7 linked regions of the Macaca fascicularis genome follow. The main gene of each other region encodes a partner of the protein of the gene in region 2 in a complex. Links are inferred from orthologs where the notes say so. Each region holds a gene or a part of one and is shown on either strand. Other genes may lie near its edges.

What was found.
Region 1: the proteins of GNAS (region 2) and HTR1A are in contact, whole or in part, in a cryo-EM structure (PDB 9GL2), measured with the Homo sapiens proteins. The link is inferred for Macaca fascicularis from reciprocal best matches to the Homo sapiens genes GNAS and HTR1A. Residues at the interface, in NP_000507.1 of Homo sapiens: Ala39, Asp215, Lys216, Val217, Arg342, Arg347, Thr350, Ala351, Gly355, Tyr358, Phe376, Arg380, Asp381, Ile383, Gln384, Arg385, His387, Leu388, Arg389, Gln390, Tyr391, Glu392, Leu393, Leu394; in NP_000515.2 of Homo sapiens: Asn69, Ala71, Asp133, Arg134, Ala137, Ile138, Pro141, Ile142, Tyr144, Val145, Asn146, Arg148, Ile218, Ala222, Arg225, Ile226, Lys228, Thr229, Lys232, Val233, Asn325, Arg327, Asn328, Lys332, Arg339, Lys342, Thr343, Thr346, Leu347, Asn404.
Region 3: the proteins of GNAS (region 2) and SCTR are in contact, whole or in part, in a cryo-EM structure (PDB 6WZG), measured with the Homo sapiens proteins. The link is inferred for Macaca fascicularis from reciprocal best matches to the Homo sapiens genes GNAS and SCTR. Residues at the interface, in NP_000507.1 of Homo sapiens: Gln35, His41, Val217, Phe219, Thr350, Tyr358, Phe376, Cys379, Arg380, Asp381, Ile383, Gln384, Arg385, His387, Leu388, Gln390, Tyr391, Glu392, Leu393, Leu394; in NP_002971.2 of Homo sapiens: Arg174, His178, Tyr239, Leu240, Leu243, Leu244, Ala245, Ser247, Phe248, Ser250, Glu251, Arg252, Leu320, Lys323, Thr326, Gln327, Thr329, Arg339, Arg342, Ser343, Leu347, Tyr388, Leu391, Asn392, Gly393.
Region 4: the proteins of GNAS (region 2) and FZD3 are in contact, whole or in part, in a cryo-EM structure (PDB 8JHI), measured with the Homo sapiens proteins. The link is inferred for Macaca fascicularis from reciprocal best matches to the Homo sapiens genes GNAS and FZD3. Residues at the interface, in NP_000507.1 of Homo sapiens: Lys34, Tyr358, Gln384, His387, Leu388, Tyr391, Glu392, Leu393, Leu394; in NP_001399840.1 of Homo sapiens: Arg232, Lys318, Ser321, Glu322, Leu397, Val400, Lys408, Lys413, Leu414, Phe417.
Region 5: the proteins of GNAS (region 2) and olfactory receptor 51E2 are in contact, whole or in part, in a cryo-EM structure (PDB 8F76), measured with the Homo sapiens proteins. The link is inferred for Macaca fascicularis from reciprocal best matches to the Homo sapiens genes GNAS and OR51E2. Residues at the interface, in NP_000507.1 of Homo sapiens: Gln31, Gln35, Arg38, His41, Asp215, Val217, Phe219, Tyr358, Phe376, Cys379, Arg380, Ile383, Gln384, Arg385, His387, Leu388, Arg389, Gln390, Tyr391, Glu392, Leu393, Leu394; in NP_110401.1 of Homo sapiens: Met58, Tyr59, Asp120, Arg121, Ala124, Ile125, Cys126, His127, Pro128, Leu129, Arg130, His131, Ala132, Leu135, Asn136, Asn137, Ile220, Thr223, Val224, Leu227, Pro228, Ser229, Glu232, Lys235, Ala236, Thr239, Cys240, Lys294, Thr295, Lys296.
Region 6: the proteins of GNAS (region 2) and HRH2 are in contact, whole or in part, in a cryo-EM structure (PDB 9IXJ), measured with the Homo sapiens proteins. The link is inferred for Macaca fascicularis from reciprocal best matches to the Homo sapiens genes GNAS and HRH2. Residues at the interface, in NP_000507.1 of Homo sapiens: Gln35, Arg38, Ala39, His41, Asp215, Lys216, Val217, Asp343, Leu346, Arg347, Thr350, Tyr358, Phe376, Arg380, Asp381, Ile383, Gln384, Arg385, His387, Leu388, Arg389, Gln390, Tyr391, Glu392, Leu393, Leu394; in XP_006714928.1 of Homo sapiens: Arg116, Ala119, Val120, Met121, Pro123, Leu124, Arg125, Tyr126, Pro127, Val128, Ile205, Val208, Ala209, Gln212, Ala213, Arg215, Ile216, Ile219, Ser220, Trp222, Lys223, Lys231, Ala232, Thr235, Leu236, Leu291, Asn292, Arg293, Asp294, Arg296.
Region 7: the proteins of GNAS (region 2) and ADCY9 are in contact, whole or in part, in a cryo-EM structure (PDB 9U3P), measured with the Homo sapiens proteins. The link is inferred for Macaca fascicularis from reciprocal best matches to the Homo sapiens genes GNAS and ADCY9. Residues at the interface, in NP_000507.1 of Homo sapiens: Ile207, Glu209, Phe222, Arg228, Arg231, Arg232, Lys233, Trp234, Ile235, Gln236, Phe238, Asn239, Glu268, Leu272, Ser275, Ile276, Asn278, Asn279, Arg280, Trp281; in NP_001107.2 of Homo sapiens: Ala381, Phe382, Arg383, Phe1070, Glu1072, Tyr1075, Glu1076, Glu1080, Cys1081, Arg1083, Val1084, Glu1087, Asp1091, Phe1152, Asn1155, Met1156, Leu1157, Trp1158, Phe1159.

Annotation. Positions count from the first base shown.
Region 1 is NC_088380.1:69,611,003-69,614,975, reverse strand, and holds the start of HTR1A (5-hydroxytryptamine receptor 1A), read left to right. Parts: upstream 1-1,167; 5' UTR 1,168-1,716; coding exon 1,717-2,985; 3' UTR 2,986-3,973. UniProt on the Homo sapiens protein: G-protein coupled receptor for 5-hydroxytryptamine (serotonin). Also functions as a receptor for various drugs and psychoactive substances.
Region 2 is NC_088384.1:114,906,104-114,910,330, reverse strand, and holds the start of GNAS (guanine nucleotide-binding protein G(s) subunit alpha isoforms XLas), read right to left. Parts: upstream 2,801-4,227; 5' UTR 2,267-2,800; coding exon 136-2,266; intron 1-135. UniProt on the Homo sapiens protein: Guanine nucleotide-binding proteins (G proteins) function as transducers in numerous signaling pathways controlled by G protein-coupled receptors (GPCRs).
Region 3 is NC_088386.1:12,318,366-12,321,896, forward strand, and holds part of SCTR (secretin receptor), read left to right. Parts: intron 1-344; coding exon 345-477; intron 478-2,551; coding exon 2,552-2,705; intron 2,706-3,531.
Region 4 is NC_088382.1:31,668,037-31,672,203, reverse strand, and holds the start of FZD3 (frizzled-3), read right to left. Parts: upstream 2,815-4,167; 5' UTR 2,684-2,814; intron 1-2,683. UniProt on the Homo sapiens protein: Receptor for Wnt proteins.
Region 5 is NC_088388.1:69,722,712-69,726,970, reverse strand, and holds the start of olfactory receptor 51E2, read right to left. Parts: upstream 2,820-4,259; 5' UTR 2,770-2,819; coding exon 1,807-2,769; 3' UTR 1-1,806. UniProt on the Homo sapiens protein: Olfactory receptor. Activated by the odorant, beta-ionone, a synthetic terpenoid. The activity of this receptor is probably mediated by G-proteins leading to the elevation of intracellular Ca(2+), cAMP and activation of the protein kinases PKA and MAPK3/MAPK1.
Region 6 is NC_088380.1:182,529,809-182,533,906, forward strand, and holds the start of HRH2 (histamine H2 receptor), read left to right. Parts: upstream 1-1,297; 5' UTR 1,298-1,433; intron 1,434-1,612; exon of another isoform or gene 1,613-2,006; intron 2,007-4,098. UniProt on the Homo sapiens protein: The H2 subclass of histamine receptors mediates gastric acid secretion. Also appears to regulate gastrointestinal motility and intestinal secretion. Possible role in regulating cell growth and differentiation.
Region 7 is NC_088394.1:4,895,167-4,899,188, reverse strand, and holds the start of ADCY9 (adenylate cyclase type 9), read left to right. Parts: upstream 1-1,201; 5' UTR 1,202-1,254; intron 1,255-1,423; 5' UTR 1,424-1,466; coding exon 1,467-3,159; intron 3,160-4,022. UniProt on the Homo sapiens protein: Adenylyl cyclase that catalyzes the formation of the signaling molecule cAMP in response to activation of G protein-coupled receptors.

The sequences.
Region 1 (3,973 bases), on a different chromosome or scaffold from region 2:
TACCTTTTCTTTTAATAACTGTCTTCCTCTTTCTAGAAGAAGTTGTACTTCCTCAATACTTGCTTTATTTCTGCATAAGGGTTTCTAGACGGCACTCTAAAACATTTGCCAGAAGGTGGCGACATAAACCCTTATTGCTTAGAGCTGTCCCAGGTGCTGAACCCAGTTTCTGGGATAGGAGAGGCTAGCCGGCTAGCGAACAGGGATTCCACCAAGTTTCCCCCAGAGGTTTGCAGGCTCTGGTAGGAAGTGCAAACGGCCATATAAAATGCCAGGCTTCACTTAAAACACATATGCAAAATATTTCCATCCCTGAATTTGCTAGCCACAAAGTGACAGTGTTACTGAAATTACAAGTGTAGTAGTGATGGAAAAGTGTGTGTGTGTGTTTAGAATATATATCACATTGAGTTTTGTTCTTCATTTCGAGTTGCAGTTGTTTACCTCTCCTTGTCCTTTGACACGTCCTTTATAATTTCGTTCTCTCCTAGTTCCGCAAGGTTAAAAAAAATGTCACAGGCAGTATCCTCCCCGAAAGAATCCGGTCTGACTGTTAGATGATAACGGAGGTAGCGTTTTTGTTGTTGTTTGTTTGTTTGTTTGTTTTGAGACGGAGTCTCGCTCTGTCGCCCAGGCTGGAGTGCAGTGGCGCGAGAACGGAGGGAGGTAACTTTTTAAAAACGAGACACACTCCGTCTTCTTCCTTCAATTAGCAATTATTGGGAGACTGATCCAGGACTGTTCACCTTCCCATTCAGGCTCCCTGTGCTTCCTTTACTCATCTCCTATTGCCACTCAGGGATGCTGACACGATTTAAGAATTTGACAGATAATATGAGGCAATGAGTAGTCGGAATTCCCTCTCCCCGAATACCCCCTCCCCAGTTTGACTGGATTGGAGGAGGAGTTTATCTGTTACAACCTTGGTCTGACCGACAGGGATCCGGTGTGTGTAAGTGAGTTCTGAGTCTCTGTTGACAAAAAGGGACTGGAAAGCAAAGACGCTGAGCTTGAGGGAGAGGAGGGCGGGGACCCAGAGGAAAGAGGCACTCCTCGGGGTTGGGGTTGGGGAAATATTAGGAGGGGAGGGTTAGAATGGGAGGGAGGGAGCCTGGCTTTCGAAGCGACTCACAGAGGGATAAATAAAGGGAAGTGAGGAGGAAGAGCGAGACTGAAAGGGAAGGCAAGTGGGGAGAAGGGGGTCGAAAGAGGCAGAAGAGAAAGAGAGAAGAGAGAGGAGGAGAGAGGGGGAGAGAGGGAAGGAAGGAAACAGGGAGAGGAGGGTCACAGAGTGACAGTGGAGGATGGGGCTTCTCCGTTCTAGATATTTCTGGGATTGGAGACTGTTTGCTAGAGGAGAGACTCCAGCTCCTCCGACAGCCAGTTTGGGAGCGGCAAAGTAAAATGGACAGCGACAGACAGACGTTCCAGCCACCTCTCCGCCGCCCGGAGATCCTGGAGCTGCTTTCAGGCCAACTCCAGTTTCCCAGCTGGAGCCTCTGAACGCGCTGGACTGCGCGAGCCGGGGGAGCGCCTGAAAGCTGCTCCTCAGAGATACCTTCGCTGAAGCAGTAAGAACTTCCTGCTTGGGTGCCTGCATTCCCTTCCTCCGAAACTTCCCTGGAGAAGCGTGGGGGAAGACCCCAGGGGAAGGGGCGAGGCGGATCTTCGCGCTGCTTTTTCTTCCCTCCCCGTTCCCGCGCCGGGCGCGCAGGCATGGATGTGCTCAGCCCTGGTCAGGGCAACAACACCACATCATCACCGGGTCCCTTTGAGACCGGCGGCAACACTACTGGTATCTCCGACGTGACCTTCAGCTACCAAGTGATCACCTCTCTGCTGCTGGGCACGCTCATCTTCTGCGCGGTGCTGGGCAATGCGTGCGTGGTGGCTGCCATCGCCTTGGAGCGCTCCCTGCAGAACGTGGCCAATTATCTTATTGGCTCTTTGGCGGTCACCGACCTCATGGTGTCGGTGTTAGTGCTGCCCATGGCCGCGCTGTATCAGGTGCTCAACAAGTGGACACTGGGCCAGGTCACCTGCGACCTGTTCATCGCCCTGGACGTGCTGTGCTGCACCTCATCCATCCTGCACTTGTGCGCCATCGCGCTGGACAGGTACTGGGCCATCACGGACCCCATCGACTACGTGAACAAGAGGACGCCCCGGCGCGCCGCTGCGCTCATCTCGCTCACTTGGCTTATTGGCTTCCTCATCTCTATCCCGCCCATGCTGGGCTGGCGCACCCCGGAAGACCGCTCGGACCCCGACGCATGCACCATTAGCAAGGACCACGGCTACACTATTTACTCCACTTTCGGAGCTTTCTACATCCCGCTGCTGCTCATGCTGGTTCTCTATGGGCGCATATTCCGAGCTGCGCGCTTCCGCATCCGCAAGACGGTCAAAAAGGTGGAGAAGACCGGAGCCGACACCCGTCATGGAGCATCTCCCACCCCGCAGCCCAAGAAGAGCGTGAATGGAGAGTCGGGGGGCAGGAACTGGAGGCTGGGCGTGGAGAGCAAGGCAGGGGGTGCTCTGTGCGCCAATGGCGCGGTGAGGCAAGGCGACGATGGCGCCGCCCTAGAGGTGATCGAGGTGCACCGAGTGGGCAACTCCAAAGAGCACTTGCCTCTGCCCAGCGAGGTTGGTTCTACCCCTTGTGCCTCCGCCTCTTTCGAGAGGAAAAATGAGCGCAACCACGATGCCAAGCGCAAGATGGCCCTGGCCCGAGAGAGGAAGACAGTGAAGACGCTGGGCATCATCATGGGCACCTTCATCCTCTGCTGGCTGCCCTTCTTCATCGTGGCTCTTGTTCTGCCCTTCTGCGAGAGCAGCTGCCACATGCCAACGCTGTTGGGCGCCATAATCAATTGGCTGGGTTACTCCAACTCTCTGCTTAATCCGGTCATTTACGCATACTTCAACAAGGACTTTCAAAACGCGTTTAAGAAGATCATTAAGTGTAAGTTCTGCCGCCAGTGATGACGAAGAAGTAGCCGGCCAGTCGGGGCTACAGGATCTGCCCCATTCACTATGCTTCCCCCAACCCTAGGGAATCAACACTTAAGATAATTTGCCACTTCTTCTCTGTCTCTCTGCTCCGCCCGCGGCTTGCGGACCTGGTCCCCTCCCCACTTCCCGCTCCAGCGCAGGGCGCTTTGTGCAAAGGAGACCCAGCGGCGGGGCGTGAGAGCCCAGAAAATTCCGTTTGTGAGAAGCGACTTTAGCTCAGACTTTGCCTTTAGCATCAGTTTTGATCCCAGCAATTGCCTCTTCTCTCTTCTATCCCCTAAATCTTTGCGGTAGATGTTTAATCCTTAGCTGTTCAAGGCAGAAAATCCAAAAACTAAAAAATAAATAAACTGTACACACAGCCGCCGCGCCCACTAAGGAGCTCCACCCTATCACCCAACTTCTAGAACTTGGACTTGAGGTTCGGGAATTTGCTCCATCTCTCCCGCCCTCTGGCCCTTGAAATATTCACCTTTTCCTCCCTATTTTTATCTTTTATTTTCTTTCATTGCTTCCCTCTCCGCCCTCGCCCATCCTTATGCACGAATCTGCTGGTCCAGAGAGGCGGAAGAGGCTGATTTCCCCGTGCCAGCGGTGCCCCTGGGATTCCCTGTCTTCGCGCAGACTTGAGATTAACTCTCTCGTGCAGTGCACAACCCCTGCTTCCTTTGTTTCCTTGGACTCAAAACAAGTGGCTAGAAGGTGTCTCTTAGAGTGGACTTGTAAGTACAAGGCCGGGCCAGTGGGGGAGAGCGAGGAGGAGGAGGGTGTGCAGACCACTTTGTCTATGCTTGTCTTGGTGTCAGCACTCACCAAAGAAGCTGACAATCATACAGTGGAGAGAACGGACGCTGTTTGCACAGGTAGCTGGCGAATGTGTACGTCCTGGCATCGCCACTTACTTACTGCGGGAGGCGCCAGCCGGCCGCTGTTTGCGCTCTGGGGACGCTGAGAGGCC
Region 2 (4,227 bases):
CTAGCAAGCTCTTCCCGCCTTTGGCTGGATCCCCTCCTCCCACTGTCGAGCCCCGAGCCCCAGCAGGCAGCCCTGCCACCCCCTACCCAGTTCCCCGGCGGCCCTGCTGCCCGCAGGCAGAGTCCGCCGCATTACCTAGAAGCAGCAGGCGGTGCGTACACATGTAGCCCATCTTTTCGTCCTGGAGTTGTTTGTCGATGAGCTTGCTGCGTTTCTTCTCTGCGCGCTTCTGGGCCCGCTTCTCCAGGGCTTCTTTGCGCATCTGTCTGCGCTTCTCCACCAGGGGTACCTTCTTGACCTTGGAGGAGTGCGAGGCTTTGGGCTGGGGACTCTCAGATCGACCGAAGCAGCCCCCGAAGGCTTGCATGAGGAAGTTGCGGAGTAAGTTGCGCTGGGGCTTTCGGCGGCGGCGATTTCGCCGATGCTGAAACCAGCGGATGCATCCGAAGGTCCCATCGTCGGACTCGTCTCCGCTGGAGTCATCGTCGCTGCTGGCCGCCCCTTCATCGTAGTACACGCGGCGGCCGCAGCTGCGCTCGGACTTGCCCCGCCAGGCAGACGCGCGAGCAGGCCGCGGAGTAGGCGGATCGGCAGCCTGGATCTCGGGGCTGGGGGGTCTAAGGTGATGGAGCTTGCGTCTGGCCCCGGAGGCAGGGGCTGCCGAGGCCGCCCGGGCGGCTTGGGCTGCCCGGGTGGCAGAAGCGGCTGGGGCAGTGGGAGCCCCGGCGTCAGGCGCAGCTGGGGCGACATGGGCTGCCCGGGTCTCAGCAGCCGCAGGGGCCGCGGGAACCTCAGGGGCTGCCCCGGCATCTGGATCGGCTGGGGCGTCAGGGGCTGCCCCGGCATCTGGAACCGCTGGGGCGTCAGGGGCCGCCCCGGAGTCGGGATCGGCCGGGGCGTCAGGGGCCGCCCCGGAGTCGGGATCGGCCGGGGCGTCAGGGGCCGCCCCGGAGTCGGGATCGGCCGGGGCGTCAGGGGCCGCCCCGGAGTCGGGATCGGCCGGGGCGGCAGGGGCTGCCCCGGAGTCGGGATCTTCTGGGGCTGCCCCGGAGTCGGGATCCGCTGGGGCTGCACGGGCTGCCCCGGTGGCGGTATCCGTTGAAGCTGCCCCGGCGGCAGGGGATCCGTACCCCGGAGAGGGGACTTTTCCTCCCTCCGCGGCATCAGCGGCTGTGCTTCCTTCCATCTCTGCTGCTTCCTCCTCAACTGGGGGTCTCTCTGCTCGCTCTCTCTTATCTGGGGCTCCGGAGACCTCGATGGGCGGGCCGTCAAGCGCGATTGGGGGGCTGTCCATGTTGACGGGAGCGTCGTCGACCCCAGCGGGGGCGCTGCCAATCTCGAGCGGGGGTCCGGAGATCTCCAACGGGGGGCCGCTGCCCGTGAAGTTAGGAGGAGGTCTGACAGCCTCTCGGGATGGGCTGCCGATGGCGCCTGGGACCCAGAGGGGAGGCGCGTTCGCGGCGGGAGTGAGGCGGACCGCACTCGAGGCCGCGACTGCCGCGAACTGGCCACCGCGGTCAACTTGTGCGATAACTCGGGAAAGCCCCGGGGGTGGGCTGTCGTCCCCAGATCCTTCTCCATCAAGCTCAAATGGCATAGTCTCCTCAGGGGGAGGGCTGTAGCCTCCTCTGGAGCCAGTCTTTGGAGGCCTGAGGGCTTGGGGCTCCTCGGGAGGAGCTCCGGGGACCCCTGCAGCACCTGGGCCTCCTGGAGCAAGGTCTGGGACCTGTAAGAGAGGTTGACTGCAGCCTGTCTTGGCAGGCTGGTCAAACTCAAAGGGCATAGCTTCTTCTGGTGGAGGGCTGTATCCTCCCAGGCCTGGTCTGGCACCACTGAAGGCTCCAGGTTCCACGAATGCTGGGCCGAAGGCCTCAAGGCCTGCATGGGCCCCACTGGGGGATCCAGGCTGCTCCAGTGTAGGCCAGAAGCCTCCCAAGCTGGGCTGTTCGACCTCGAAGGGCATTGCTTCCTCAGGAGGTGGGCTGTAGCTTCCATGGGCTCCAGCTTCCCTGAATGCCGGGTTGAGGACCTGAAAGTTGGGCCTGGAGACCTCTGGGGGTCCACAGGCCTCGCTGTCATTCTTGATGGGGATGGGCTCGTTGTGAGGCGGTTCGGTCTCCATCTCTTCGGCTGGGCTAGGCCCAGCACCGGGGGCAGCTGCCCCTGGGGCCTCCAAAGATGGTTGATCGGGCTGTTCCCCGATTTCAGGGGGGATATCGCGTTGTCCTGACATATTATTGCCGTGGAGGCAGTTGCGCACGCCCATAACAGGGTGGCGGCCTCTCAAAATAAGTTTGGGGCTCCGTAAGACGGAGCACCCAACCGAACTAGGGTGAAAAAATTATTATTGTTATTTTTAAATCAAAGTACCAGCTGGAAAGTTCACCAGCCTCACTTTCCAACCCTTGTGAGGTTGGGGGGCTTCAAGGCCTGGAACCCTAGACTGAGGCTGAAGCAACTCAATTGTTGCTGGTGGAGTCTTGGCTCCTTTCTGGCCACTTTTTATCCCCTCAGTATGCCCCCCAGCCCCTCTTCCTTGGTCTGTCCTTATGCCCTCCTCTCTCTTTCTTTCTCCTCCAGGCCAGTCCCGCCTGCTTGGATCTGACGAGCGTGCCGATTCGGTCCGAAAATCGCCAGTAGCGCTCTCTCGCTGCCACCAGAGGACGCCGGTTCCAGTGCCGAGCTGGCTCCAGCTCCAGAATCCTGCTCCTCGCGCCGCGGCCCGGGACTTTGGGTAAGGGGGCTGACGAGCGCAGGCCTCGCAGGGACGTTTTGGCTCCTTCCACTCCTCTCCCTGACTGATTTGGAATCTTTCTCCTCGCTTCTCCCCTGGCCAGAGAAAGCTCTCCTGCGTTGCGGGACACGTGACGCAAGACGTGGGCCTCGGGACGCTGGAGTACAGGAGCTGAAATCCTCCCTCCCCAACCCAACCGACTCCTCGGGGGAGGGGGGACTGAAGAAGGGTTTCATCACCCCAGGATACCCCTGAAACACTGAGTCATAGCCCCCAGCCTCCAGGCAGCTCCGGATCTCAAGCCCCTAGTCCAGAGCGCAAGGCTTTTGGTGCCTGAGAAGGGGCACAGGCATGCGTGGGGATGCGACAGGTGGTCGTGAGCCCACCAGAGAAGCAGAGAGAGACGAGGGAGAGGGGATGCCGAGTATGCGAGCACACAATTTGTTTTTTAAATGCCTTGGGTGTACTTTTTACTGCTTTTGTTTGTTGCTTGCTGAGGTTGGCTCCGGTAAAGCACTTTAACAGCCCCCACCCTCATCACACTCTAGGGGTCTCCGCAGTGGCCCACGCAGCGCAAGCAGGGTGCTCCCTTGTTTATGTGGATGGTGACGCAGGGGAATAAGAAGGTCTCGGGTGCGTACCACCAAGAGCAAAGCCCCCTAGGCAGTAGCTGCGGTGGCACCGATGGAGGGGTGGGGGGCGTGCTGCGCAGAGGGGGACCCCACAAAGCGGCCGCAGAGTTTCGCAGGTCCTGCGGTTCTAGGGAAGGGTTAAAGGGGATTTTGGTTGGCGTTTATGGCCGGTTTAGGGTGATTTCGAGAGTGGACAACGCTGTGGGCACTGAACCCACAGATAAACACCATGCCGCGCGGCAACCGCAGCTGAGGTGCGCTGCTCGCTGCTTCGGGTGCCGGCCGCAGCACCGGTCAGTCTGCTCCTTTAGCCCCACTACAGCCTGTCTCCAGCACCCTTCCAGCCCCTCTCCTCTCGCTATGGGTATCTTAGGGTAGTCGCTTTAGTTTTCCACTGCTAGAGCCTACTGAGGCGGCACTGAGCCCGCCAACCGGCCACAAACCCGGCGGTTGCCCGCGCAGCTGCGCTCCCGCTACCATGCTGCGGTGGGCTCAGAGCTAGCCAAAGGTAAATACCCAAACCACCTGGTGACCTTGGTGTGTGCACATGCTATGCTCTGGTCTGGGGTCTGCAGAGGGATTTGAGCCCGGGAGAAAAGCTGCTGTTAGGGGGTCACGTAAAACCCGGCAGGTGCGCATCAGGTCGGTCTCACCAGTAAGACAGATTGGTGAACCACGTCTAGGCACAGAGCAGCTGGGCAGGAGGCAGGGGGTCACCTGACCTGCAGAGTCCTGCGGGAGGAGAGGCTGGATGAGCGTTACACAGGGCGGGCTGCAGCAAGCAGGGCGCACAGCACGGGCTGCTGTATGGGAGCTGCAGGCGGGCGAACCACTGCACGGTGCGATACCGTCTAGTCTAAC
Region 3 (3,531 bases), on a different chromosome or scaffold from region 2:
ATTTTAAAAAAAAATTTTTTTTTTGTAGATACAGAGGTCTCAATATGTTGAACTCATGGCCTCAAGTGATCTTCCTGCCTTGGCCTCTCTAAGTACTGGGATTATAGGTGTGAGCCACACTGTGGCTGGCCTTTTTTTTTTTTTCACTACAGCATGTAGCAAATTAGACTGGCCATCTGGGGACCCTCGTCCTCATTCAGGTTATGCTCACAGAATGTGTTACCCAGAAAGAGCTGAAGTCTAGGGCCTCAGTTTCCCCAGTGCACTAGAGGCAGGTGGGCCTGGCTGAGTCCCAGCCCCTCAGCGGACTCTGGCCTCTATGGCCCTACATTCTCTCCCTGCAGGAGGCTCCACTGCACCCGCAACTACATCCACATGCACCTGTTCGTGTCCTTCATCCTTCGCGCCCTGTCCAACTTCATCAAGGACGCTGTGCTCTTCTCCTCAGATGATATCGCCTACTGCGATGCCCACAGGGTAATATGCCTGGGTGCCCCGGGGTGTCGCCAGGCCTGCCTACCTTCCCCAGCCTAACTTTGGAGAGGGAAGTAGCCTAGTTATCCTTCCTCCAAGCCCCTGCTGAGGCTGCACTTAATACCAAGGATGAAGTGGCCAGTGCTGACGCTGGGCCAGGAGGTTCAGGGAGATTCCACGGCCACATGTGCACAATCTGGGTCACGTAGGAGAGAAGCTTGTGGGGGTTGCCGTAAACTCGCAGTGTCCAGGAGTGAACTAGCCACTCTAGGAATTAGGTATAGAGGGAGATGCCTCTTTTGCCTACTTCTGCCAGTTCCTAGCTGAAGAAAGATGACCCGGTCTGTAGAGGGTGGGGGTTGGTCATAAAAAGAAAAGAGTGAGCACGGGCCAGTATGTCTGTATAAACGCGTTTGCGATAAAACAGTTGTGTTTTCTTAAATCTAACCCCCTTTCTCCTTCCAAATGCCCAGATGACTCAATTCATTGCAATCACCCTGTGTGTCAATTGGGATTCCCTTTGCTGCAAATAACAGAAAACTATATATTGGAGTCTTAAACAAATGGGAACTGTTTCCTACAGAAACAGTCCACAGATGAGGTGGCGCAATGGCTGTGCGATGCCATGAGGGACACAGTCTTTTTCCCTGTTTCTGCACTGCCATCCTTAGAGTAGGCCTTTGATGTCATGCTTTACGTGGTAAAAGGTTAAACATTTTTTTTTCTTTTGGGCAGCTTTGCCTTTCTATTGAGAAAAGGTACCCTCCCCAGAAACTCCTATCCTGCATCTCATTGGCTAGAGTTGAGTCATGTAACCACACTTAATTGCAAAGGAAGCAGGGTGATTGAGTTTTTTACTGTCACAGTCTCTATTGGAGAGGCGAGCAAGGGAGAAAACAGATTGGAAATTGAGATTAGTTCAGCCAGCCTGCTTGCCATTTCCTACCACTCACCTGTTTGTATTGTTCATAGTTGTGTGTGTGTGTGTGTGTGTGTGTGTTTTCTGACTCAGACTGAGAGGTCTGACTCAGACTGAGAGGTTCTTCAAGTAGGATCCATGTCTCTCAAGGAGGTCTCCAGGATGAAACAAGAGTACTTGCTGGGAGTCAGGAGCCTTAAATCCTAGCCACGCTTCATTACTGACCAGCAGTGGACAAGGCCAGCAACGCCCCAGCAGGGAACCTTCTCAAGTTTTACTAAACATCAGACTCACAAGTCAACAATGGGCCTTGCCTGGAGTCAGAGCCTCTGGGAAGGCCATAAGGCAGGAACCACCACTGTCTCACAGGCAGCACTGGGTGCTCCTCCTTCTCGGGCTTGTCTTTGCGGCAGCCCTAGGGCTATCCCAGGAGCTGTCCCATCCTCAGGGGACAGCTCAATGCAAAGAAAAGGACAAAGGCCCTACCACGGCAGAGGTACAGGAGCTGTGCTGGTGTAGAAGCCTGGTGCCCCACAATTCTATCAGCATAACTTCCAGGGATCCCTGCAGGGGACATGCCTGTTAAAAGAGTCAGTCACTGCATGGGGGAAGTCCAACTCTATGACATTCCCATCAGATATGTGGAGAGTGCAATGTACCAGCCAGGGCCATTTTTGCCATAATCAGTGGTGCCTCCTAACAGAGTTGGCACATCCCATCATTATGTGTTTGCAAGGGAACTGAGCTTAGAAAACATTTTTTTTAACCCTTTGCTCAGAAATCTCTTCCCTTTCTAGGCCTTGGTTTCCTCATCTGAAAAAATGAGGGGATTGGGCAGTATCCGGCACAGTTTTGTGGTTGAAGGACTGTCTCCTCATCTAGCCTGGCAGCCAGTGCTAGCATTTGAACCTAGTTCCTGCTCCTGTGATGGCTCATTGGCCAGCTTGACTGAACCCACCAGGTCTGTGGACTCCCACTCTCTAGAGAATGCTGCAGGCCTGATGGAGGAAGGCCACAGAAGATGGCCTTGAACCCCAGAGGCCTGTTCTTGTGGCCTGGCTCCTGCCCCTACAACACCCTCTTGCTCTCTTTGGGGCCACTCACCAGAGGGAGCCCCACTGCCACCCGGCCTGGGCTCAGCTGCCTCTCTCTGTCCAGGCGGGCTGCAAGCTGGTCATGGTGCTGTTCCAGTACTGCATCATGGCCAACTACTCCTGGCTGCTGGTGGAAGGCCTCTACCTTCACACACTCCTCGCCATCTCCTTCTTCTCCGAAAGAAAGTACCTCCAGGGATTTGTGGCACTCGGATGGGGTATGTTTCTCCCTGGGTCTGGTACTTGCATGGTATGTGGGAAGGGGCGCTGAGTCGAGAGTCAGAGGGTTTGGCTACTAGTTCCAGCTCCACAATTAACTAACTTGTGAATCTTTTTTTTTTTTTTTTTTTTTTTTTGAGTTGGAGTTTCGCTCTTGTTGCCCATGCTGAAGTGCAATGGTGTGATCTCGGCTTCATCTCCCGGGTTCAAGTGATTCTCCTACCTCAGTTTCCCAACTAGCTGGGATTACAGGCATGTGCCACCACACCCAGCTAATTTTGTATTTTTAATTGAGATAGGGTTTCACCATGTTGGTCAGGCTAGTCTTGAACTCCTGACCTCAGGTGATCCACCTGCCTCGGCCTCCCAAAGTGCTGGGATTACAGGCGTGAGCCACCGCGTGCAGCTAACTTGTGTAATCTTAGAGAATCTCCTTGATGTTTAACCCTCTGGTCTCAGTTTACTTATCTGTCAAGTGGGAAATCATAGCTCAAATTTAGCCCCAGTTTCTGGCATCTAGATCTTTTTACAGTTCGTTCCTACCCAATACTCGTTGCCTCATCTGCCTTCAGACGGTCCATTCCTACATCCTCTTTCTTGCTTCCTTTCTGTATTAGGATGCTTTTGACTGCTGGCATCAGAAAATCTGTCAAGCTTTAAACATAAACGAAATCAATTGGCTCATATAACTGAAAAGTCCAGGGATCACCAACTTCAGGAGAGGCCGAATCCAGCAGCTTAACACTGTTTCTTTCTGTCTCTACTTTGCCTTCTGTAACATCGGCTTTATAGTTAGGCTGCTGTTTCTAGTGGAATGGCCAGCAG
Region 4 (4,167 bases), on a different chromosome or scaffold from region 2:
AAAAATTGACCTGAAAATAAAACTGAAAAGTTAAGAGACAGATAGATTCTGGACTTTAAAATGGGCTGAAATTTCAGCCCAGCTTCTCTTAAATCTGCTATCAAAAAATTCTCTAATACCAAGTCCCTGCTTTCCATCCCCCTTAACAAGGCTGTATGGTTTGCATGCTTTGACTACGGAATTATTTTAATGAGATAAAATCTGGGGACCAGGATTTGGTTTTCAGGTCCACTAGCCTAGTTATATTCATCTCTAACTTAATGTGCAATACACTCCTTGAATATACCGAACTGTCAATAGTTCCCAACATGATGAACTGGAAAGCAAAAAGAGGAAATTGATTTTTTGACATAGTAGGTAAAACTCTTTCCTAGCCAGTAAGAAGCTGTTACACTTCACTTGTTCCTAGCATTACAGAAATATCACTACTGAAAATCTAATTTCTTTCCTCGAGACTACCACAAAATTTCCTCCAATCTATGCTGAATAATTTATCCAGTACATATTTTCAAAATCGTTCTTTTTATTTTTGTGCACAGCTGCAGTTTTAATCATGCATAATTGTAGAATTCTGGGGATAGGAAAAAAAAAAAAAAAAAACTTCGGGCCAAAACCGCTCAAAGAAGTGGTACGAATTGTTTCCTACTATCTGTCTCTGAAGGAAAAGAAAGTCAACAGCAGCTTAACATCAACAAACTCACATACTCAGAAAAAGTTTTGAATATAAAATCTTAGAGTTTCACTATCAAACTAATATGAAATTTAAGTCTGTTTCCTGGGAAACAGACAACTTATTGTGAGTAAAAAACTCCTCTCTCCTTCCCCAGTGATAAAGCTTTCACTTTGTTCTATACAAAGAAAGAATGTGCACTTTGCTATTAAATTCCCTTAGCCCTCTCTACTTCAAATATCTCAATCACGGAACTCCCAAGAAATATCCACCTGAATGCTCAAAGCACAAAATAAAGCTCAGAAGCATAGAGTAGCTAGGATGAGGAAACGGCTCATTGTCCTTCTTCTCCTTTTATAAATGGGACGCTTTTACAGATTTAGGAGAAATGGAGATACAGAATTTTAGTAGTGGATGAGGGAAAAAGGATAGGAGGAAAGAGAGGGCAGAATGATAGGCTTTACCCGTAATTTACTTATTTTCCTAACAGTTTCAAACAATGGGGTGGGACGGGGGTATAGTAGAAGGGCTGCCTCTTAGTTATACTTTATCTTCAGCTCTATCCTTCCAGCCCCGCCCAGTCAAGCTCTTACACCTCTTTCCTAGGCTCTCCGACTCTGATTTTTTTTTTTTAATCTTTGTGGGTTTTTTTTCTGGAGGAAAAAAATAGTATTGATTTGTTTAATAGTAAAGACGGAAAGCATTATCTTCAAGAGTAACCACTTCTTAATAATAGAACTAAGGATTTCTATTCCTTTTCCAGACTAAAATGCAGGAACGGCACCAGCACACCACCAAGGACTAAAGGAGGATGAGGGAAGGAGGTAACATCCCCAGGGGTAGTCAGGTCTTTGTTTCCTTGCTCATATCATACTGGCTTTACAAAGTAACTCAATTCCCATCAATAAGCATTCCCGATCAGAATTACTTCTCTAAAATGAAGCTGTGTCTGAACACTTTCCCATAGCAGTCACTGATGTGGCTGCTCTGCTGTACTGCCGCTGCATCTCCCTCAATCCAGACGGGAACCAAAATTCAAAGAGTCATTCTACACTGGGCAAACCGCCGAACCTCCTTCATGGGGCCGATCTCTCTAAATCTGAAGTCTACTCCTCTGCCTCAATTCATGGCACGTGCTTTTGTTCTTAAAAACAAAGCCAAGAAAAGCCCCCTTGGCTTATCTTACAACAGAGGGATCGAACTCAAGACTCCTAGGATGTAAAACACCTCTAGGAAAATGTTTACATGTCTTGAAAGGACATAAGGCTCCATAACCTTGCAGGCTATTTCACAACAGCTTGATTTCAGATGCGGACCCTCGGGCATCGAGCAGTGGCCACCCCACGGCAAACCCATAGCCCGCGGAGGAGGCAGCCGGGGGAAGCTCGCGGAAGGGAGCAAGGATTTTGCAAACTGACGGACCGGCGGGGAAACTTTCAGGCGTGGGCAGGCAAAGGTGGGCCCGAAGCTGACCCGAGCCGGGGCTGGGAGCCTGGCGGCGCGCGCTTCGGGCTGCAGGGAGCCACCGGCGCATTGTCCTCCGCCCACGCCCCCCGGCGCCCCGCGCTGCCGCCGGCTCCGGCCAGGCCCCTCTCCCAGCCAGGCCCCTCTCCCAGCCGCGCAGGGTCTGGGCCGGGGTGGAGGCGAAAGAACTGCGGTCCACACTCGCACAGGTTGCCGAGCGCGGGCTCAGGGCGGACAGGGTTAACCGTCTCCAGGGGCAGCTCCCCCGTCAGCCCTCAGCCCCAAACTAGGCGTCCCCGAGGCCCCCTGCCGCCACCGCGGGCCCAGGCCCCCGCTCCGCCGTCCGCCACAGCCCGGTGCCCAAGGCTTTTGTTGTGGCCGCGACGAGAGGAACGATCCCTAAGGAGGAGGCGCCGGGCTGCTGCTGGCTCCTCGGCGCGGGCTGAGGCGGAGCAGCAGGCAGCCGCGCGGCGCGTCCGCGGGCTCCACACTCGCCGCTCCCTCTCCCGCTGCCCCGGCCCAGGGGCCCACACGCTTCGGGGGGCTCACCTCAGACCCCGGCGTCTGGCTCCAAAGCGGTGGGGGCTGCACCGCCAGCCGAGGGCGGCCGCGCGTCCCTCAGGTACCCGGAGCGGCGGAGGACCGCCGGCGCGCGCCTCCCAGCGACAGCGAGCTTTCGCGAGCGCCAGGGCGCGCGGCCCGGGGAGCGAGCGCACGAGCGCGCGCGCACGCACGGGGCAGGCGCACTGAGCACGCTCGGCCGAAAGCTCCCTGCCGGAGCCTGGGCATACCGGGCTGGCCTGGCGTGTCTCGTTGTTCTCTGCCTCTCGCCCTGATTGACGTCTGGAGCTGCCCTGCTCCGGCGTGCTGGTTCCCAGCCCCGGAGGCGCTAATCCGAGATGCACTCGGGGGCCTCCTGGCAATGCACTCCCTCCCCTGATAACACGCGAGCGCGGAGGTGTGATTGCAGGACCACCTACACCTGGTCTGAGAACCAGAGGTGCCGACCTCCGGACCTGGGGATTTGGGGTGCTCAAGAGGCAGATGCCCGGATGCTGAGGGTGGAATGGGGTGCAGGAGCTCTGGCCTGCTACAGAGCTCCACGCGAAACAGCATGGCAGACAGGCTACTCGCCCGGGATAGTTCATAGCCTCTTGGCCAAGACCTTTGGAAACAGGTGGAGCTGGTCGTTACTGGTGCGCGCCCCAATTTTTGCTCCTTAGGAAATGTTTCTCCTCTCCTTTTCTACATAATTGGCTTTAAAGCTGAAAGAATTCTTAAAGATCGTCTAAATTGAACCTCTCATTTTTCAGACGAGGAAAAGATCGCCCCAAAAGGTTAGATGATTTACCTAAAGCCATGCAGCGTTTTAACAACAGGGCCTGGATTCATCCCAACCTGTTGTTGGGATGAAAAGAAAAGGGCTGTTTTTCTTTTCACTGCACCGTTTAACCGTTTCTTTCTCTTCTTTTTTTGTTCCTCGTGAACCTAGATTGCATGGGCATCATTTTGTTCATTCGGTAGCACATAGAACTTAAAGAAATTGAACAATGTGAATGGACTTAGCACTATTAGAATTGTACACTTAAAATATGGTTACAATGGTGCGTTTACGTTGTGTGTGTTTTACAATTATTTTTAGAAAGGCGCTTGATACGTGTTAAGTAAATGTTTAAGAGTATTGAACTTAGACCTAGTGTTTCACATCAGAAGGTGAGCTGTGTGAACAGGCATGATAAATGAGATCTGAAATGACAGTTTCAGTTTCTCTAATAAGTAAATACTTATGCAGTAAACAATGTTTAAAATAATATTGATTCTTAGGTTGATTCTAGGCAGGGCGGTGTATCCTCTGGAGCCAGCGGTGCCTCTGTGGAGAGTGAGTGAGGGGGCAGATAGTGTGGGGGAAATCTGTGTGTATCAGATCCCTTGTAGCTGGGGAACCTCCGGAGATGCTGTGCGAGGTGCATTTTTATTCAATTTAGCCACCATCCTGTAAAGACTGTCAGGAATGGGACACATCATAGCTCAAC
Region 5 (4,259 bases), on a different chromosome or scaffold from region 2:
AGGGAACATATAGGCCCAATGATTGTATTCAGATCTCAGCTGCTCACTGGATCTGCTCAACAGTACAGTGGGAATACCCTACATTGAAATAAGATGCATTCAGCATCCTTACTATTGTGTGAACCATTCCAGTCAGGATTCCTGCACTGGTGAGAAAGAAGACTAGGGAATATCTCACATCTCCAACTCTGATTTATAGGATTCTATAAATGTAAAATCGATAGGCATAACACTCAGCAAAATTTAAAATAAAATTTTATTTTATCTTATACTTAAGTTCAGACAATAGCATGTGGTGTACATTCAAAATTTTTGACAGGTACAGAGCACATTAAAAAATGAAGACATGATCAAGGAGATGTAAGAGACAAATAGACAACAACATTCTCCCTGAATCTGGAAAGAAGCAAGCAATAAGACCATGAAAGGTGGCTGTAAAACAGGAAGAGTATTCTGCATGTGTTGCCCACAACTAGGGCAGGATTATCTCTCATCACACGTTCAAAGCCATTGATGTTAGCGTGTAACAGAAAGAAAACAGAGGATTTGTACAGCTGAGGAAATAAATGGCAGATGTTACCCAGGAAGCAATATAACGTGGTAGTTAAGTAACTGTATTCAACTGTCGAATTTAATTTTAAATCTTGGTGCAGTGCCCACAAGCTGTGTGACTTTAGTCCCCTTGATAATATAAACTTCATTTCTCTCACTTATAATAAAGAGACACAAATGGTACCTACTCCACCAAGTTATGAAGAACACATGAAACCTGTAAAGCACTTACAATAGTGCCAGAACATTGTGAGCACACGTGATATGTTGGTTGGCATTATTATTAACGGCTTATATAAATTCCCAGGTAATGCATAATAACAATAGAGACTGTGACAAGCCCTGGCTTACATAAATGATCAGCTTCGTTTTCCCTATTTCATTTGACATGTTATTCCATTGTATGCTTTGAGACAGGGTCTTGCTGTGTTGCCCAGGCTGGAGTGTAGTGGTGCGATCATGGGTCACTGAACCTCAAACTCCTGGACTCGAGCGATTCTCCCACCTCAGCCTTCCGGGTAGTGGGGGCTACAGGTGCATACCACCATGCCCAGCTATCATATTCCCTATTTAAAAAGTTGTACATGGGCCGGGCGCCGTGGCTCACACCTGTAATCCCAGCACTTTGGGAGGCCGAGGCAGGTGGATCACGAGGTCAGGAGATCGAGATCATCCTGGCCAACATGGTGAAACCTCGTCTCTACTGAAACATACAAAAAATTAGCCAGGTGTGGTGGCACGTGCCTGTAGTCCCAGCTACTCAGGAGGCTGAGGCAGAAGAATTGCTTGAACCCAGGATGCGGAGGTTGCAGTGAGCCGAGATCGTGCCACTTCACTCCAGCCTGGTGACAGAGCAAGACCCCATCTAAAAAAAAAAAAAATGTTGTACATGACAGTTAACCAATACCTCCATAATAATAATAATGATAATAATAATAATAAAAAGAAAGTAGGGACAACACTAAATCATTAGCAATTTGAGCACATTTCCTCCAAGACATATGCTATTTTTCAACTTGGCTTCAATCATGTATCTTTATGTTTGGTTTTATTGTAGTCTTTAATTCACATAATACTTCATTAGTATGTATTATTCCACATAATAGTCCTTTAAGTAGATGGACCATACTTTAGTTTATTATTCCAGCCAGAGAAAAGCACTGATGTGCTTATGGGCAACTGGAAATAAGCTAGTGTTGGAAATAATTATGTTTATCAAGCCAATAAAGATAAGGAGAAGTGTAGTGTTAAGGGTCACTTGCCTCCCACAGCCTGAAAGTCCTTGTCACAGCTGATCTTGAACATAGCCAGCACCCTTGTTCTGATCTGTTTGGTTTTGGCACCATAGATGATGGGATTGATGACAGGAGGCAGCAGCAGGTAGATGTCACCCATGACAACACGCACAATGGGATGAAGGCTGTTTCCAAAGCGGTGTACCACTGAGAGGCCAATAAGTGGCACATAGAAGGCAAGTACCACACCAATATGTGACACACAGGTTCCAAAGGCCTTGGCCCGCTCTGACTTGGAAGGCAGTTGCAGCACCGTTCGTATTATCAGAAAATAAGACAAGGAGATGAACATTACATCCACTCCCATGACCAGCAGAATGGCAGTAAGACCATATACCACATTGGGCAAAGTGTCTGCATAGGCCAACTTCATCACATCCTGGTGGACACAATAGGAGTGTGAGAGTACATTGGAGTGGCAGAAGGCCAGTCGCTTGATCAGCAGAGGCAGTGGGAAAAAAAAGAGGGACCCGCGGACCACAGCCACGATGCCAATCTGGGCTGTTACTGTATTGTTGAGCACAGCAGCATGGCGCAGTGGGTGGCAGATGGCCACATAACGGTCAAAGGCCATGGCCAGCAGGATGGTGGATTCAATGGCCGAGAGGGCATGAATAAAGAACATCTGGGTAAGGCAGGCCTCAAAGCTAATCTCTCGGGAATCAAACCAGAAAAGTGCAAGGATCTTAGGCATGGTGGATGTGGATAAGGCCAGGTCAATGGCTGCCAGCATGCAGAGAAAGAGGTACATCGGAGAGTGCAGGTTGCGTTCCGTCCTTACGATGAAGACCACGATGCAGTTTCCAAACACTGCCACTACATACATGGAAAGGAGGGGGAAGCCAACCCAGAAATGGGCTTTCTCTAGTCCTGGGATACCAATAAGCACAAAGGTGGCATGTGTGAAGTTGCAGGAACTCATAGCTGGAACTGAGGAGGGGTGACTGGAGAGGGTGAGGTCACACTGGCAGTCTGCAGGGACATAGAGCACAATCAGAGAATGCCCTGGAAACTTGAAACTGACATCCCACCCCTTTTGTCTCCTCCCACCCCCCACTTAGGGTCTTTTATAAACTCTGAGGCCCTCTTCCAAAGGGGGAACTGTGACAGCTCAAATTCATTTATGCATCACTACTCTCAAGGTTTATTTAAATTTTTAAAAGGGAACCCTGGGAGAGCAATGCTTTTTCCAAAATGTAGCCTTTCCAAATTCCCTCAGATTCTTCCTACTGATCCATACCTTCATTGTCTGGATATTTGGTGACCCTTTTTTTCTGATATGTGCTAAGAGATACACTTTTGGGAGCTCCTTCCAGATAAGGCTGCCTTTCTTATTTTACTTTCCCTGCTTCCCTCCCCCCACTTTCTTTCTTTCGATTATTCCTTCATTCCAGAAGCATTACTAGCATAATGTATGCATTTAATTCATGCGAAAGAGAGAGGCATGATCACAGAAGAATCTTCCTGTTTAGACTTGAAACATGAGTAGAAATTAGACAGAGAGTGGAATAATGGGTGTTCCAAGGCAGTGAGGATAGGAGATAACTTTGCAAATTTTCAGGATTCCCGGTCCTCAATTCTGAAGTCAGCCAGAGGAATAAGAAGCACAGCAATGACATTTTTTTAAAGCTTAAAAGAACATAAATAAACAAAACCTAAGAAAAAAAAATGCCAAAAGCCAATCTCTTTCAGATTAAAGGAAACTCATCTGTGGTCATAAAATCAAAGGTAGTGGCTCCCTCTGATGACTTCTTCAGAGATGAAGGTGCTGTCAGGACACTGGTGAGTACCTCCACATCTGAAAGCTTCTTCCAAGGCCACTTTAATTGCATCCAAGGATAGTTTGAGTTGAGTCCTTACTTTGGAGAAGTATTATTAATTTTACAATGATATTTTTAGAGCTTTGTCTTTCCTGAAACTTGTGCCAACAAGTCATTCATCTCAGGGGAGACATTTCTTTTTTAGAAGCCCAGTGTTTCTTTGCCCCAACTCCCTACCCTCACCCAAACACCTGGGTTCTGACTTCACGAAACTTCTTCTCTGCTAGGTTGCCTAGGTGCCTTGGTCTTTAGAGCTAATTTTCTCTAGAACGCCAAAGCCTTGGCTGCAAGGCCTAACTTTTGGAAACAAATGATGCAGGTGTCTTCATTGATTATCTGTTTCATTGAAACAGGTTAGCCTGCTTATATTGCACTCCCCTAACCCCAGAATTTTTCACTCATCATCTGAGTTCTTCCTGCAGCTGGGAGATGCCCTTCAATTTGCTCTTAATGTAGAGGGGTTAGATACCAGTGATCTTAAATTACAATATGATAACATTAATACAAAGAGATTAGAACTGGATTCTCCCCATTTTGGATAAGCAAGGAAGGACAGATTCAGGGTTCAAAGGTTACAAACCCATACTTCTGC
Region 6 (4,098 bases), on a different chromosome or scaffold from region 2:
TAGACAGGCACGATCTGATTTACACTTTTCAGAGATTATCTGAGCTGCTTTGTGAATGGCAGGTGAGCAAGAGAGGCGTCCAGAAGACCAGTTTGGAGGCTCTTGTCATTCCAAGATGACAATGACTTGGATGCATAGTGCAGCAATAGCCTCCCCAGAAGCTGTGAACTGAGACCTAGGGGACCATGGCCCCTCGTCCTCTGCCTCGCAGCCCCTGGCACAGGGCTGGTCCGTGGTGACAGAATGGCTTGAGGTGGTGCATCAGTCAGCAGTGGCATGTGTCTGAAATGCATGCTAGCTGAACCCTCCTCGCTTTCACCATCCTTTGCCAAGCTTCCACGGAAATCCCCCTCCACACACCAGGCTCCCCAAGCAAACCCGGTCAGCCCAGCTGACCGCCTGCCTCCCCGGCACTGGGCTGCTGTCCAGGCCTGGCGAAAATCTCTCACCATCCTGCCCACCCAGGCTCCCTCCACGGAGATCTGTGTGGTTAGCACAGTGGCCTTGATATCTTGATATTCAGGAGACGGGTTTTCCCATCTGAGCCTTCGTTTTCTCATCTGGAAGGCGGGCATTATTCTCCTTATCCCAAAACCCCTTTTCCCAAAGTCCACTTCCTTACTTCTCTCTCTCTTCATCCCTTCCTTCAACCAAAACAAAGCCACTCTAGGGTTTTTGAAGTTTCCTGATTTTTTTTTTTTTTTTTTTTGGTAATTAATAACCCCTGAACTAATTAATTTCTGCATTTGTGTTTCTAGATTTCAGATTCCAGAATTATTCAAGCTTTTCCTCAAAACTAGTTATTTCCCCCTTCTAGCCTGACTCTAGCTGGGCCCTGGGCGCCCAACGTGAGGGCTGCCACCTGACCCCCTGGGTCCAGCGCCCACCCGGGGCAGGTCTCCAGCTGTGGCCACTCAGCCAGTATCTGCGCAGGTGAACCATGGGGCTCAGGAATAGGCGGTTGTCCGGTCAAGGGCGGGCTCGCAATCAGCGGGGCGGGGAGAGGGAAAGAGCCAGGGAGAAAAGGGAGAGAAAGAGGGGGCAGTGTGTCAGAAAGGAAGAGGAAGGGGCAAGTGTCAGAGTCGGCGAGATGAGGAGGGAGGGTGAAGGAGAACGGAAAATAGAAAGTGGGTGAGACCGTGGGAGAGGGAGACTGGGGGAGAAAATGTGGGTGTGTGCGCGCTGAGAGAGAGAGAGAGAGAGAGAGAGAGAGAGAGAGAGAGAGAGAGAGAGACTTAGAGAGGGAAGGAAGGGAAGGAGCGTTGAGAGCAAGGAGGAGCGAGTTGGGGGCGGAGACGAGGAAGTGGGTGCGAGGCGCGGGGCGCAGGCCGTGCGCGCGCCGCCCGCTCCATCCCTGCCCGGAGCGCAGCCGGCGCGGGCGCGGGACCGAGGCGAACCGGGTGCGGAGCCAACGCCCGCGGCAGCAGCACCAGGTAACGCGGCCGCCGCCTCCCCGCGGGGCCTCGGCGCGGGGTGGGGTCCCGAGCGGGCTTGGGGACCCGTCGTGGGCTGGCGGAGCCGCCTGAGGGGCTGCTCCGGGATCCCCGGCGGCGGTCGTGGCCCCGAACCCGGGTTCGAGACCCGGCCCCACCGCTCCCTGGCTGTGCCTGACCTTGGGCAGGTGCCTCCGCTTGGCCTGTGAGCCTCAGTTTCCTTCTCTGTGACCGCCGGGGTTGTGCCTTCCCCAAGGGGGCGTTGAGAGCTCGGGATGCAGTCCCAGTCCGCGGCGGTGCTCGGGACACGGTTCGGCTTTATGTCCTCTTTGCCCGCGAGGGGTGGATTTGGAAAGTCCACTTGCGCCGAAACAGTCCCCGTTTTGTCCCTGGGTCTGGGTGGTGGCATTTTCTCGCGGCGATGTGTCTGTCGGAGCATGGAGCAACTTTCTGCTAAAGGGAAGCCAGCGGAGGGCGAGGGCTGGTGGGGAGGGGGCTTCTATGTCTCAGGGAACGAGAACGACCTGCCTTCATCCCGCTGGGCTGCGGCTTGCTGCCCGACGACCGTTGACTGGAGCCACGACAGGCAGCGCTCAGCGGGTGGGAGTCCTTGCTGGGGACATCTGGACGTGGATTCGCCTGTGGGATGAGCGGAGCAAGCGGCCTCTTTTGATAGGAATCCCAGTTTGCGCATTGACCTTGAGCTTGACAGCCTCAGTTTCCTCCTGAGGGCCATGCTAATCCCCCCACCCCGTCCATGAGGTGTTGTGAGGTGAACGAGGTGGGGCAGGAAAGTGCCTGTGTGCTGTGGTGGCCCCCAGTGGCAGCTGTCATGCCCTAGCTCAGGTGGGCCCAGTCCTGGAGGTGGTTGCCTCTTGGTAAGTCATTTCTACGTTCTAGGTCCCCTTTGTGTCCTTTGCCAGAGAGGGTAAGTCGGTGAAGCTGGGTGGTGACCAGGCTGGACTTGAAGCAGGGCAGGGCCTAGGGAATGTGGGGGGCCCAGAAGCTTCAGCCTCCACTCCAGACCTATCCTGAGGCTGATGCTCCTCTAGACATGACGTCTCTCAGATGGCAGTTTTTGTCCTGTGAAGACTCCTGGCATAATCTCTCAGCACCTCAGTTTCCTTATTTATAAAAGGAAGTTATAAATTCCTCCCTACTAATGAGTTTCCTGTCCCTGGAGGTTATCCAAGGCAATTGGATAGATTACATTTTTTGACATCTCTGGGTCTGGATGGTGGCATTTTCTCCTTATATCTGAGCTGGGATATAAGGAGAATTCAATATCATGAGAAAATAGCTTATCTCGAGAACCTGCTCCTTGCAGGCCGGGTACTTGGTGCATTACAAGTATGGCATTGGTTAGAGTCACCACAGCAATCCTGGGAAACTGGTGCCATCAAATCCCAATTTACAGATGAGGAAACTAAGGTTCTCAGAGGTAAATGATTGCCATGTGGTCACACTGGTAGGAAATGCCTGTGCAGAGACTGGAACCAGGTCTGCCCGCCTCCAGGGTGCTTCTGGTTGTATCGTGCTGGCCCCAAAATATGACTGTATAAGTTGCGGCATAGCACAGGGCCTGGCACATGGCACGTGCGCAATCAGCACTGGCTTCTTGTTCCATGTGTCATAGGAAGGGCTGCTACAAAGCACTGGAGAACGTGAGCCTGAAGGCTGGCAGCAGGGTTGGGGTACTCTTTCCAAGAGATTTCTCTCAGGGTCTGGAAGGAAGGAAGGTCACTACTCAGTACTACATAGGATGCTGATATCAGACTGACTCACCCCAGTCCACCAATTTCTTTGCTTCCTCCATCACCTTGTCCGGGTTAACCTTGTCTTTATTTATCTCAGTCTAGGCTAATTCTCCTGAGCTCACAGGCACATCCCACTCTCCATTCTAGGCTGATGATTAACTACTGACCCTCCCAGGCGACATTCCATGGGAAAAACAAGACCAGCTGTGGTCCATCTCCGCCAACACCCCATAGTAAGGGAAACAGGATTAAGTTCCAATCCCAAAGATTTAATTCAGACTTGAGGAAGAAATCCCTGATGATGGGGAAAAGGGTGTCCCAGCAGGCTAGAGAGGTTCCTTTGCCAAAAAATGTTTTAAAGAAGAGGAGTACATCCAAATGAAAGGATGGAGATATGCACAAAGCCTCTTTCATGTGCAGAGATATTCATCAACAATCAGAAAGTGCCTAAATGTCCAACAGTAGGGAATCAATAAAATTATGGGACGCACATGTGACCACCAAAAGTTGAGAGTTTTTAGTGAATGGAAACATGTTTTGCATCGGCATGCAAATGGCAGGGTCCCAAAAATGTGGCAAGAGCTTAGAAAAAAGACTGGAAGGAAATAGGCTAAAGAGTGTTAACAGTGTTTGCCCATGGATGGTGGGGTTGTGGGAGATGTGTTCCCTGACTACTTTTTCTTGACTTTCCAGATTTTATGCAATGAGCATGTTTTTTAATAATTAGTGGACTACCTGGCTTCGAGTTCTGAGAGCAGGGAGGAGGGTGCCTGATTGAAAAAAAGGTAACTTATGGTTCAGTAAGGGTGCACTGTATCTGAGGGTGCCCTGTCTCAGGCCTACAATAAAGACTGAATTGTCTCTAAAAGGGTTCAAGTAGTGTTTTCCAGGTTGAAATTTTCACCATC
Region 7 (4,022 bases), on a different chromosome or scaffold from region 2:
TGCCCCGGGGCCCGCATTCATTGCTTACAGAGCAAAGGGAGCCTCCCGGGAGGGAAATCCAACGGTTGGAAACTTCGATTTATCCCAAAGGCGTGCCGAGTGGGAAGGCAACATTTTGATTTCCCAAACGTTGCGCCCAGCGGCTCCCTTCCACGGCGCGCGCCTTCAGGTCTCTCCGCAGCCCGGGACCCCGGGCAGCGAGTGGTCTCTGGGGCGCCCAGAGAGACCCGGCCCGCAGCGCCCGGAGCGCCCGCAGTGTACGCAGCGCGCGGCCGAGGAGCGGCGCCGCCCGGGGCGGAGGGCGGAGCCGAGTGCGCGCCCCGCCCCGCCCCGCAGCCCGGAGCCCAGCGCGCGCACCAAGGCGGGGCGGCGCGCGGCCCGTGCGCGTGTCCGGGGCCAGGAGGCGGCGGCGGCGTGCGCGGGGCGCGCGTGCGCGCTGCGGCGGGGCGAGGGGCGGCGCGGGCGCGCGTCTGTCAGTGACAGCGGGCGGGGCAGGGGCCGGAGGTGGTGGCGGCGGCGGCTCTTCCGACATGAGGCAGCGGCCGCGGGGGACACGGCGGCGGGCGCGGCGGCGGCCGCATCTCTAGCTCTGGGAGGCTGCCCCCGGCGTGGGCGCGGGCGGGCGGGCGTCCCGGCTGGCGTCGCAGGAGCCCGGCTCTGCGGCAGCGTCTGCACCGCCGCCCGGCGAGGGGCCCGCGTCCGTGGTTCCACGCGCTCGGTCCCGGGACAGCGGCGGTCCCGGCGGGGGCGGCGGCGCGCTCGGGGGGAAGCAGGCCCCGCTAGACGGGCCGCGCCGACGGGCTCCGCGCACTCGCAGCCCGGGGCGCCCCCACCCCCGGCGCCCGCCGCCGCGGGCAGGGCCGGCCCGGAGTGCGGGAGGCGGCCGGGGAGCGCGGGCCGGGGGCGCCCGCCGAAGCTCGCGGCTCCGGGTCGGGGCCGGGGCCGGCCGCGCGCCGCCTTTGACGCATCGGAGCGCGGCTCCTGCAGGATGGAGGGCTCCGCGCCGCCGGCGGAGTTGTTTGTGCGCAGGCGGCTCGCGGGGCTGGGAGCGCTCAAGGTCTGAACTTCCCTCCGGAGCCGCAGCTGGAGGAGGCGAGCGCACAAGGAGGAGAAGCCGCGCGGCGCGGAGGCCACCCTCGGGGCGAGCGGCGCTGAAGGCGAGCGAGCACAGCGGTCCCGGACCCACGGCGGCCACGCGGCGGGGACCCCCGGGCGCTCTAGGTCCGTCCCAAGCGGTTCTCGTCCGCCTCGAAGGTAGGGGCGGTGGGGGTACGGCTGAGCCGGGATCCACAGTTTCGGGGAGCAGATGGTGCCTGTCCAAGTCGCGTGCTGGAGCCGCCACCTAGGACGGGAGCAGGTCCCCGGCCTGCAGGTGTGCATGCCTAGGTGGGAGCGCAGCTAACTCTCCCGGTTTTGCTGGCAGGTACTGGTGACCCCGGCCCGGGCAGGCCCCGGGACTCGACAACATGGCTTCCCCGCCCCACCAGCAGCTGCTGCATCACCACAGCACCGAGGTGAGTTGCGACTCCAGCGGGGACAGCAACAGCGTGCGCGTCAAGATCAACCCCAAGCAGCTGTCCTCCAACAGCCATCCCAAGCACTGCAAATACAGCATCTCCTCCAGCTGCAGCAGCTCCGGGGATTCCGGGGGCGTCCCCCGGCGAGTGGGCGGCGGAGGCCGGCTGCGCAGGCAGAAGAAGCTGCCCCAGCTGTTCGAGAGGGCCTCAAGCCGCTGGTGGGACCCCAAGTTCGACTCGGTGAACCTGGAGGAGGCCTGCCGGGAGCGCTGCTTCCCGCAGACCCAGCGCCGGTTCCGGTATGCGCTCTTCTACATCGGCTTCGCCTGCCTTCTGTGGAGCATCTATTTTGCGGTGCACATGAGATCCAGACTGATCGTCATGGTTGGCCCCGCGCTGTGCTTCCTCGTGGTGTGTGTGGGCTTCTTTCTGTTTACCTTCACCAAGCTGTACGCCCGGCATTACGCGTGGACCTCGCTGGCTCTCACCCTGCTGGTGTTCGCCCTGACCCTGGCTGCGCAGTTCCAGGTCTTGACGCCTGTCTCAGGACGCGGCGACAGCTCCAACCTTACGGCCACAGCCCAGCCCACAGATACTTGCTTATCTCAAGTGGGGAGCTTCTCCATGTGCATCGAAGTGCTCTTTTTGCTCTATACCGTCATGCACTTACCTTTGTACCTGAGCTTGTGTCTGGGGGTGGCCTACTCTGTCCTTTTCGAGACCTTTGGCTACCATTTCCGGGATGAAGCCTGCTTCCCCTCGCGCGGAGCCGGGGCCCTGCACTGGGAGCTGCTGAGCAGGGCGCTGCTCCACGGCTGCATCCATGCCATCGGGGTCCACCTGTTCATCATGTCCCAGGTGAGGTCCAGGAGCACCTTCCTCAAGGTAGGGCAATCCATTATGCACGGGAAGGACCTGGAAGTGGAAAAAGCCCTCAAAGAGAGGATGATTCATTCCGTGATGCCAAGAATCATAGCCGATGACTTAATGAAGCAGGGGGATGAGGAGAGTGAGAATTCTGTCAAGAGGCATGCCACCTCGAGCCCCAAGAACAGGAAGAAAAAGTCTTCCATCCAAAAAGCGCCTATAGCCTTCCGCCCTTTCAAGATGCAGCAGATCGAAGAAGTCAGTATTTTATTTGCAGATATCGTGGGCTTCACCAAGATGAGTGCCAACAAGTCCGCCCACGCCCTGGTGGGTCTCCTGAACGATCTGTTCGGTCGCTTCGACCGCCTGTGTGAGGAAACCAAGTGTGAGAAAATCAGCACTCTGGGAGACTGTTACTATTGCGTGGCGGGCTGTCCCGAGCCCCGGGCCGACCATGCCTACTGCTGCATCGAGATGGGCCTGGGCATGATCAAGGCCATCGAGCAGTTCTGCCAGGAGAAGAAGGAGATGGTGAACATGCGAGTCGGGGTGCACACGGGTACCGTCCTGTGTGGCATCCTGGGCATGAGGAGGTTTAAATTTGATGTGTGGTCCAACGATGTGAACCTGGCCAATCTCATGGAGCAGCTGGGAGTGGCCGGCAAAGTTCACATTTCTGAGGCCACTGCAAAATACTTAGATGACCGGTACGAAATGGAAGACGGGAAAGTTATCGAACGGCTGGGCCACAGCGTGGTTGCTGACCAGTTGAAAGGTATGTGCACTTCTTTACCTCAGTATCCCCCCTCCCTGAAACTGATTGTATTAAAAAAGAAAAACACACACACACACACACACACACACAAACTTTCAACCTCAGTGTGTAGAGGCAGCTCAGGTATCTCAGAATGCCTTACCATGGGGGGATCTGAGGGTCAGTGTGACTTTTCCTCCAGCGGGTCAAATATCACAGATCTCTTCACAATGCAGAAAGGGACGCTGTACAGACGTGACCTAGATGCGACCTGTAGAAGGAAGGAGAACTTTGAACGAGCATAACCACTGGTTGGCTGAAGTACGGGGGTACGTCCGGTGAACGTAAGAGTATGGAGCCGTTCAGCGTTAGCACTTTTCAGCACTTAAGGAAATTGCCTTTGCATTTCATTTGGTCACCCCGAAGTCCCATCCAAATGTTTCTCTGTGCCCTTTTTGCGAAAACGTGGAGAATAAAACCTTTCTCCTCTCTGGGCCTCACTTTGCTTGTCCTCAAAATAGGGATAGGAAGTCGGCGCAGTCCTGCAGGACTCTGGAGAACTGGACGGAGTTACTTACCTCTGAGTGCACACTGCCTTTTATCTAGGTCTTTTTAAAAAAGTTTGCATTTTCAGCTTTCAGCCGTCATTTGTTTAAGGATATTTTATTATCACAGTATTTGCCTTAAGTGAAGAACCAGGCATTTTAGAATATTGAGCTTCTGCAGCCGGCAGGTGATCTGGAAGGGAGAGACGTACCCACAGAAGAGCTGGTATTCTCCTCCCTCGTCCTCTCAGGTTTGGATCTGGTGCCTGGTCCCTGGTTTCAAGCTCCCTACTGCTATTCTTGATGTTTTTACTGGGCTGCTGCTTTTTTCTAATACAG